Linked DNA regions of Arabidopsis thaliana. The protein of the gene in region 2 interacts with the protein of the main gene of each other region in a pairwise test. Each region holds a gene or a part of one and is shown on either strand. Other genes may lie near its edges.

Region 1 (5,781 bases), on a different chromosome or scaffold from region 2:
TGTTTCACGGTTCAATGAACGCAAATAGAAGCGTGACATGGGTTGATTGGTCCATAGGCGGTCCCCATCCAGCTACATATGCTGCAGCTAATATCACAGAAGGGTTTCTCCAATCTATAAGGAAAAACGAGACGGATTGTCTTTACAATGAAGAGCCAACTTCGTTATGCTTCCTTTTTGCTCGCAAGTTCTCTCCTTCTGCCTTAGCTCCTCTTATGAATTTGAGCTCTACTGTCCTGGGGTTTTGAGAAAAAACAAACTGATTCATTTCTCCTCTTCTTTCTTCTTTTATAGGGATGAGATGAGATTCTTCTACGAGATATATAATATACATAACATAGGACTCTTTTTCTTTCTTATATAGTTTTATTCTTTTGGTTATAATCTCTTCATTATTTGGGGTTTTATAGAGATGATCGTAATGGTCAAGCCTTTTGTATGTAAGAGTTTTGCTTCTGCCGACCTGCAGAGCTAATCTAGTTGTAGATTTACGAATATATTATTCATTTTGATCACTTTTTGGAAGAAATGGAATTTAATGTTTTGATCGAATTACTGATTTTGAATTCCATTACTCTTTAGAAGCCATTGGCTTCAAAAGAACCATACATACAAGTGAAGAAGCAAGGGCAACGAACGTAGTAGATTATGATGTTGATCCTAAAGAAATAACTACTAGAGTTTGCAAAAAATAGGAACCACAAAGCAAAAGCCAAATTAACTATGAGGAGAATGGTGGTGCAGAAGAAATAGCGAGTTTGTCAAACTAGTTCCTCAACTCCACTACCTTTTTTTCTTGTGTCTCTTGGCACTCATGGGAAGGCCCTGGCTCCTGTTGTTGAGGAAGATGACTGTCCACAGAGTTTGACCACGGTGTCTGATTAGCCACCTCTCCTGGCACGGGATTTAACCACTGTGACTGCTGATGGCTAGCTGTCTGATTAGACCACTGTTGCTGCGCTGTCCACCCTGACTGCTGGCCAGCTGTCTGGTTAGCCCACTGCTGTTGCTGGCCGGTTGTCTGATTTCCCCACCCTTGTTGCTGGCCGGTTGTCTGATTAGCCCATGGTTGCTGCTGGCTAGGAGTCTGATTAGCCCATGATTGCTGATGACCAGTGTTCTGATTAGCCCACGGTTGCTGGTGACCATTATTCTGATTAGCCCATTGTTGCTGCTGGCCAGGCGTTTGATTAGCCCACTGTTGCTGCTGGCCAGGCGTCTGATTAGCCAATTGTTGCTGCTGACCAGGCGTTTGATTAGCCCACTGTTGCTGCTGACCAGGCGTCTGATTAGCCCAAGGTTGCTGCTGGCCAGCTGTCTGATTAGTCCATGATTGCTGATGACCTGAAGGACTTGACCACCCCGATTGCTGAGACCAAGATTGCTGCTGTTGATATCCCGGTGCCTGTCTCGACCATGACGGTGGCTGTTGCCCTGCCGTCTGATTCGACCACGATTGTTGCTGCTGGTTATCAGACGTGTTGGACCAAGAGGGATTCTGGCCATTATTAGCCTTGTAAGCTCCTCCTGCTGTTTGACCTGCAGTTCCATTGGCCCAACCTGAATTGGAATGCACCACTCCTTGGCTCGTCCATGGGGCCCTGTCTCTAGGCTGCTGCGGAGCTGCAGGTGTGGTTCCAAACACTGCGGGTACCCTAGGTGGAGTGTTACCAGACTGCCCAGCGTTTCTAACCGGCCGGGCAACAGAGTTCAAAATTTTCTCAATCTCCTCACGACGTCCTGCCTTCTCAAAAACCTCAATGATGAATTCCCGCAGCACAGTAGTAACCCCAACATTATGTCTAATCATCTCACCAACAATGTCCTTGGCTTGGTCAAGTGCATCACCATCACAAAGACCTCTAACCACCACATCATAAATGGAAGGATCTGGTTTTGGTTCCCTCTCTCCCATCTTAGTCAAAACTTCTGCAGATTCCGTGAGCTTACCATTCTTAATCAGCTCACCAAAGACTCTTGCACCGAAATCAGCAACCACCCGTAGATTCACATCAACCATCCTGTCCAACATCTTGACAGCATCGTCAATTCTCTCTGCCTTGAGATAAGCATCGATCATTGCTCTATGACTTGGAGCATCAGCAGGCAAAGATCTAGATACACCTTCAGCAAAGAACCTTTCAGCTTCTGTTAACATCCCTTGTTCACAGAATCTTGTTACTATGTTACAGTAACCTAAATAATCCATCACAAACGGTTTGGAGGTGACCTTACTTCCGACCTTCTTGAATGTATTAATAGCTTCACTAAACTCTCCCATCTTGAAACATTCATTGACCATTATACCAACCGTATCCGAATTCACCGAAAGGATATTCGGAGGAGCGTGATTATCCAACATCTCATTAAACAAAGCCCAAGCTTCATCCTTCTTACCAAACTTAAGAAACACTTCCAAAAGTACATTACCAGTCGGTGGATGCATTCTGAATTTCTTATCTAACAAAGACCTGTAAGACTCCATAGCTTCCTTATCGTTCCCTTTCTCAAACCAGTACTCCATAAAGGTAGCATTCACAATCCCATCATAAACAGTACACTTAGACTTCAATTCATCAAAGAACTCAACAGCCTTATCGAAATCACCAAGGTCCAAATATCCCCTAATCAGATTGTTGTACACCGTGGAATCCGCAGCTTGACCTTTGCTCAACATCTCCCTTAATAAACTCGCAGCATCTCCGATCCTTCCAGCTTGAACCAAACCTTTGGTCAAATGTCTATAAGTAACTGAGGATGGAGCAAAAGGAGCATTAGCCAATATGTGTCTGTACACTTCAAGGGCTTCGTCGACATTCCCTTCATCACAATGAGCGTTGATGATCTGATTGTATGAGACTACATTGGGGACGATGTTAGACTGCTTAAAGAAATACTGAAATAGAGAAATCGATTCACTGTAACGCTTGGCTCGGTACATAGCGGCGATGATGGCGTTACAGGTGAAGACAGTAGGTCGAGTATTGGAAAACACAGACTGGCGAGCGAGCTTTGATGCAGCGTCGAGATCTGATGCTCTGATCAGTGATTGGACTCTGTTGTGAAGGTTAAGCCTTTGGCCGACGAGAGCGGAAGTTGAATCCGGAAGCCGTGGCGCGTTGGGATCACGTTTTGGAGGAGGAGCTGAAGGATCGCGACGGAGAGCGTGGAGAGGAGGTTCAATTCGGAGACGACGTTTACGGCGGCGGCGCTCAGCAGCGGCTTCTTCGGCTGAAGAGAAGGCCATGGTACGATGCGGGATGGGTGGATAGGGAATTGGAGGGGTGTGATTCTGAGGAATCTGGAATTGGGAAGGATCATTTGGAATGGGATTAAGGTTTGGGTATTTCTCTGAATCCTGATTATTACCAGTGGTCGTCTCCGGATCTTCATTTGCCGGGGAAAGTGAGATGTTGTGGATGCGTTGGTGGAGGAACGAGATGGAAAGAGGGCTACGGGTAGTGGTAGTGGTTGTACAGAGACGGCGGAGGAGGTGACTGAGAGACATGGTGGAGGGAAAATGATTTAGGGTTTTAGAGGTTAGAGGAAGACGAAACCAATGACGATGGTGGGAGTAGAGAGAGCGAGCTCGTGGCTTAAACCCTTGGATGTGAAGAAATGGGACTTTTATTAAAAAGTAATGTCGAAATGAAAATTAAAGGACGACGTCGTAGTGTTTAAATGAGGGCTGTTTGGTAATACGTGTAATGTTATTCCAAAGACAAGTAAAGAAAGGTTGGATTATTTAGGGCTTCTCCTTCAAAGGCCCAAACGATATTAACAGACCATAATACGTGTCTCAAATAATCCATAGCTGGTGAGATGCCAACCACTAAGCATGCACTCTGCATATGGATGGTTGTTGGAAAGTTTCCATCCTAGTGAGGAAATATCACTTGAAGAAGTCGAGAAATTTTGCCATGCATGTCGTGGTTTGTGTGAGTGCAAAACTAGCGTGGGTTCTGATGATACAATAAAGGTGTGATCGTGGGGTTTAAAATTTAGGACCATAATAGGCTTTTTGTGAAAATTGCAGATATGGGTCCGGGAAGTAAATAACAGTTTTGGAAAAGTTCCAGTATCTTTATGAAAAACTCGGCATCACATTCAAACTCGGTATTGACTCATATTCAAAACGAGTCCATAATAAAGAAAAAAATCAAACTTTCTTGAAACTGAAACTTTATACGAAAATGTTCGAACTGCATGCATACTAGTTTTTGAAGAAAGATCATTAACAGTATTAAAGATATATGTGAAATTTTATATGAAAAGATGCTCATATAACGTGAAAACAGGAATTTGTTGAACTTTACATGGAACAAATCATGATTTACTTCTTGTTCATCTTCTTCTTAAACATCTCCATGCCCCATATTTTGACAGCCTCAAAGCCCTATGTTATATAAAGAGGGAAAATCTTTGCAATATCCTTGGCGTTATCTTCGTTTTTCATCTTGATGAGATCGGTGTTTGGGGTGACCTTCTTCTTCTTCTCTTCCACGGTAGTGATTGCTTCTCGACAAAAAGACTTCAGCGAAATGAACTAGAACAACTTGGAAGATCCTTTGTGAACTGTTTTCGTCGTGGTGATCTGGGTAACGACAAGAGAATCTTAATCGCTTGAAACCATTTTTTTGTGGAGAAAAGTTTATCAGGAAAAGAAACAAGAAGGGATTGATCATACGATATGTAACGATATATATAATGATATTAAAGGGGTAAGACCATGTACATAGCTGATATAATCAGAGTATCAGAAGCCCATCAATAATTGTTTAATGGATCAGAGTATACAGTTGGACCTGATCAGAGTGGAATGATACTTCTAATACCCAGTATCGAGTGACGTGACGGCAACTGATTCGTCAGGAAAAAACAGAGAAAAAAAAAATTCTAAAAAATCACATATACCCATACTTTATGAGTATCATCTATAACCATAAAAGATCATTAAAAATCATTGAAAAAATTTAAATAATAAATAATACTAAAAAATGTTTAATAATACTTTATGAGTATCACTTATAACCATGCTCTAAATTTATACTCGTGAACATATTAAACGGGCCTCATCTGGCCCGGCCCATAATTTGTTGGCTAGGCATAGGGAAGCGTTTTGGCCTTTTTTTCCAAAAACAATTTTTGCTTTGATGAAATTAAAACTATTAATACACAAAAAAAAAATGTTCACTTTTACTTTTAGGCGATGGCGAGAGGATGTCAGTAATTGGGTTACTGAATCGGAATACTGTTATTGGAGTCGTTCGTTGTGTTTTTACGGTCAATTTGGTTCTATTCAGATATGGTTATCTCCGGTTTTGGATTTGAAATCTCAGATACAGCGGCGGATTCACAGAGTTCCCCGAGTGCTGCTGCGACTGATGGTTTTGGAGCCGATTTCCTAGCATGTATGAATATGTCCTGGGACAAGTTCGAGACGGACAAATAAACGAGACCATATGTTTGCTGCAGCTGACAAGTCTCACTCAGCTTTCTTGTTGATTGATGAGATATAAGAGCAGATGGGATTAGCTGGATATGTGCAGGAAACTGAGATGGTATGCATATAAGTTAAACAAATCGTTGGAGCATATAAGCAGACACAAACAATCAGTTGTAGCCGCAGAGGCATTCCTTTGCTCATTGTGAGATTTGGCAGATCTGGAGCACTAACCATTCGTAGTCTATTGACAATCACACCTGATTCTTATCCCAGGTGATTTTGCTACAATTGTGGGAAGTTTGGACATTATGCTTCTGAATGTAAAGCTCCTAGCA
Region 2 (4,514 bases):
CTTAGCCTATTACTATTACTCAAAAATGTGGTCGAGAAATGTAAGATAAGGATTCCGGAAGCATTGGAAATTAAGTAGGAGGAAGACATAGAGTAGCCATTACAGTTGAGTGTTTAACACGTAAATAAATTAATTTAATTATTACTTAAATGTGTTAACCCATTTAACAACTCAACTCATCAAATTAAATGAGTTATAGTTTGATCCAATCTATTTAACAAAATGAGTTGGGTCAACCTATAACTCATTTAACTTTAAACTCATTTGATTATGAGTTGAGTTGAGTTGGGTTACCCATTTTGACACTCCTAGGTATCAGCATTAAGAAGAAACAAATATTTTTCATCCACTCACATTTTTTTTTTAAGTATACATATATATATCTAACATGTGGATATATATTATTTTTTTAGATAAATTAATAGAAAAATATTAACTTGGTTTTGTTAGAGTATCTCACTAATATAATATTAAACTTTTCAATATTAGTTTAATATTTTGTTTTTACCTTAATTAATATCAATTAAAATCTTTTTTCCTATATTAACTAACCCATTCTTAACAATGACAACAAAAAAAACGCCAATTACGAGAGAGTTCAACGACTAAAAATAACCCAACATAACAAGGTTCAGGAACACAAGGATCAGTCAGAGGTCGGGAACAAAGACAAGACTGCCACTTTACATGTTGCTATCAAACAAGGCAGTGCCGCTACGGTTAATATATTAGTCTGGTCTAGAAGAAACTTAAACCCTGATCAAACAGGTAAAAAAAGAGCTACGATTTCATCCTTCACGCATATGGGCACCGAGTTCACCAAACTGATCATCGGCTTCTACAGTGTTATCTGAGAGACGGATTGCATCAAGCTTCTGCTTCAGGATATCAATGGCATTTAGTACCAGCTGAGAAGCCTTCAATGCACCTGTGGACTCAACAGTGAATACAAAACTATCATGTTTCGGATGGATCTCAATGAGTCCCGGTTTCCCCATTGCTTCAGCTTTCTTGATCACTTCTTCATCGTAAGTGTATGCTTCAGGATCAACCACCACAACCTAAGAAGCAAAGTATTATAATTACAGTTGTGATGATTCAAACAATAGACTGCAAAAGAAATGAGCTAAACGCACTAAACACTTAAAGAAAATTCATACACCACATCACATACATATATTTCAAAGCATGGTAGCCTATAAAGTAGTACAATCATATTGAAGTCTCAAAGCTATAAACTTGTATAGATGTTATTCTTACAGAACATCGAAATTAACCTGTCCGGTGACTGGGTCAATGCCAAACACTTTGGTAGGACTGCTCTCAATCAAGTCAATTTTTTCCTCATCTGTCAAAGTGTTCATCATCTCTTCATTGATAATAATGTCAGGCTCATACATATACGTAACAGTAGCTGCAGGAGACCATTTCGCATGATCTTTCCCAATTCCTTTCCTAGCTAATGCTTTAAGCTTCAACTCTTGTCCCCTGCGTAGTTTCGCAATGATAATTCCCCTGAAACCAAAACAATAACAGTCTAAGAAACTGCAGAAAAAAAAGCCACAGAACTACCAAAAGGAAGACTCATGCAAAGGGCATCTAAAGATGTCAAATTTTGTTTAGCATTGTGTAATATCTAAGCTTAGCAATTCCAATCAATTCATAAAGAACAAATAATCACTACAATGATGAAAAGGGACTTACTTGTGCTCGCTTGAATCAGAAGTAGATGAGTTACTAGTGAAATCAACAGGAGTAACAGTAGGATCAGCACTGTAGAGATCCCTACTAGTAACATCTAGGGTTTGGTCAGTAACACACTTAGCACTAAGGGGAAACTCAACAGAGCAGAACTCGCAATGTTCATCTCCATTACAATCTTCACAATCTTGACAGAACCGCATGCTCATAGCACGCTCGCTAGTGAGAGGGATGAGACTAAGTCGTTGAGCAATGAACTCGTCGTTGAGAACAGAGGAATTAACCTCGATTTTGACGAGATGGATTGCCATGGTGGGGACTTCGGAGATCATTACGCGACGGAGAGCGTTGGCCATTGAAACGTCGGTTTCACGAAGCTCGAACTTGGCGTAGTCATCTTTAAGCTCACGGATCTTCACCGTTGGGAATCTTTGGTAGGTGACACCGTCCATTTCAAAAGCTGTTCCTTCTGACGACTCTGGGACTCTTAGGGTAATGACTTTTCGATTTCTTCGCCGGAGAAGAAGAAGAAATTTGGAGAGAGCAAAGTGAGTGAGAGTGGAAAAAGGTATAAGAAGAACTATAGTAGTTTAAGTTGGGCCTATATGGGCCTATTCTTTTGTTTACTGGGCATTTTCAGGCTTCTCATAACAGTTATTGGGAATGGTCAAAATGTCTACAATGGATTTTCTGTTTACATCAATTCAAATAATGACCCAATGTTATTTTAAGACTTTTTAATCTTTATAATTTGAATTACATAATAATAATTTTGGAAATACAAATATTAAAAAGAATCGAAATTCCATATTTTTAACAGTAACTTGGATTAAAAACATTATATAAAGAGTAAAAAGGATTAAAAATGCATTGGTTCATAAAGAATAATGGTAAATTTGTTGTTTTAATCTTTATATAGTGTTTTTCCAAAATTATTCTTTCTAATTACAATTAAAATTTTTTTACATAATTAATTTTAATGGTAATTATGTGAATGGTTTCGGACAATGTACAAGTTGTACTCATCATTATTCCGCTTATTTTCATAATTATTCCGCTTATTTTCATTGACACAATTAAATCTTGACCTAAATCTAAAAGATTACATATAATATATTTTATCCAACAGAAAATATAAATTATTTTTAAAAATAGAATTTTAGTGGGTTTTGGGGCTTTAAGTGCACTGATCATGTCTGGTCCAAAATTCTAATATTGCTTTCCTTTTTTATTTTTATTTTGCCAAGAAACCAATTCCGGGTTTAACTTCCTTGTAAAACCATCCTTTTCATATATATGATATTTGCAGTTTAGCCAAAAAAAAAAAGTTGAATTTTAATCAACATTTTTAAGCACGACGGTTTCAACTAGTAGTACCATATCGCGGGTTATACCATTACCGGAATTTATTAGAGATTTTCAAAATTTACCTGATTGAAAATTAGCGGATTGTAGTGTTGGAGCCAAACTGGATTAGTGACTGAGTCATCGGGTTTACCGGGCCAACCGCGGTTCCGCTCGAATCTGAATACATTTCCCTCGTCAAAATAAAAAAAGTCAGAGGACGATTGGTCGATGAGAAAAACATTTAATAAAGGAAAAAAAAATGAAAAAACAAATGGGGCCTTTGGAGCGATGTGATGACGTGGCAACCCCCGGAGACTTTCAAATAGCATATTGAGAGTTTTACATGCATGTGAATATCAAGGGTAACATCTAGAGTCATATGAATTGCGCGTGTTATGTCGTTGTTAGTCGTTCATGTTAACAATAATCTACGTATACCGTTTGTGACTTTTAAAACTAAGTTCATGAACCTATTACATATAGATCAAAATCTGGACCATAATTTTATTGGTGTATTGTTAGAAACTTAAAGTTCATATCACTTTCTCTATGTTTCGTGGCCTACTTGCAATTTTTTAGGAATCTTTTGACCATTAGTTTTTTAAACGAGTTTAGGACTTTGATCACTAAGGTAAATCGTTTAAACAATTTGGGATCACTTAATTATTGACATGATTGTATGTTTTGATTGGGCATGTCAAACAGATCTCAATATTTATGTAATTACAAATTATTGCATATTTCAATACATCAATGTCATGGTCTTCACAACGTGCCTGACAAATCCTAGTTGTTTGGATTCCAAATTGTTAATAATTCACAAGAGCTCTCCCATAGGAAGTTTCTTCGATAATTCTGAATATTATATAATACAAAATCACAATTTGGAGTTTAAAGACTTTTCTTCTATTAAACAAAATAGAGTCACGTTTGGAGTTCGTTGATAGTCACAACTTAACAATGACACATTAGAATATTCAAAGTTTTATCTTATTGATCAGTGATTGACATTAAAAGTTGTAATCAAGTTATATAAGCGTTGTAAACTCTTTTTGAATCATCTTCACAAACTAAAAGTCAACATGTATCATATATTTCAGATCTCCGGCGAAGTTATCAAGGGTTTGGGATTGAAGACGAAAATTCTGATAACCATCGTCTTTAGTACCTTACTAATTTTGTCTGTTATGTTACTTTCATTCTCAAACAACTTCAACAATAAACTTTTTGCTGCTACAATCAACGGTAAGAAAGAAAAAAATAAGCATCCATGTTTTGTCATTCATTGTTAGCTCAAAGAATTCTCCTTTTGACCTTTTTTTTTGTTATATGTTCAGACGAATCCGAAACACCGGGGCGGGATAGACTAATAGGAGGGCTTTTAACCGCAGATTTCGATGAAGGTTCTTGCTTGAGTAGGTATCATAAAACTTTCTTGTATCGCAAGCCTTCACCATACAAGCCGT

What was found. Proteins that work in one complex are often made in the same cells at the same time.
Region 1: the proteins of NRPE3B (region 2) and GRP23 interact in binary tests that used the Arabidopsis thaliana proteins (3 or more experiments, as listed by UniProt).

Annotation. Positions count from the first base shown.
Region 1 is NC_003070.9:3,361,262-3,367,042, reverse strand, and holds GRP23 (glutamine-rich protein 23), read right to left. Parts: upstream 3,612-5,781; 5' UTR 3,509-3,611; coding exon 767-3,508; 3' UTR 550-766; downstream 1-549. Other genes in the region: AT1G10280 (Core-2/I-branching beta-1,6-N-acetylglucosaminyltransferase family protein), read left to right, coding at 1-248. UniProt on the Arabidopsis thaliana protein: May function as a transcriptional regulator essential for early embryogenesis.
Region 2 is NC_003071.7:6,710,661-6,715,174, reverse strand, and holds NRPE3B (DNA-directed RNA polymerase family protein), read right to left. Parts: upstream 2,281-4,514; 5' UTR 2,154-2,280; coding exon 1,705-2,153; intron 1,516-1,704; coding exon 1,278-1,515; coding exon of another isoform or gene 1,257-1,277; exon of another isoform or gene 1,062-1,256; coding exon 789-1,061; 3' UTR 566-788; downstream 1-565. Other genes in the region: FUT4 (fucosyltransferase 4), read left to right, coding at 4,131-4,293, 4,386-4,514. UniProt on the Arabidopsis thaliana protein: DNA-dependent RNA polymerase catalyzes the transcription of DNA into RNA using the four ribonucleoside triphosphates as substrates.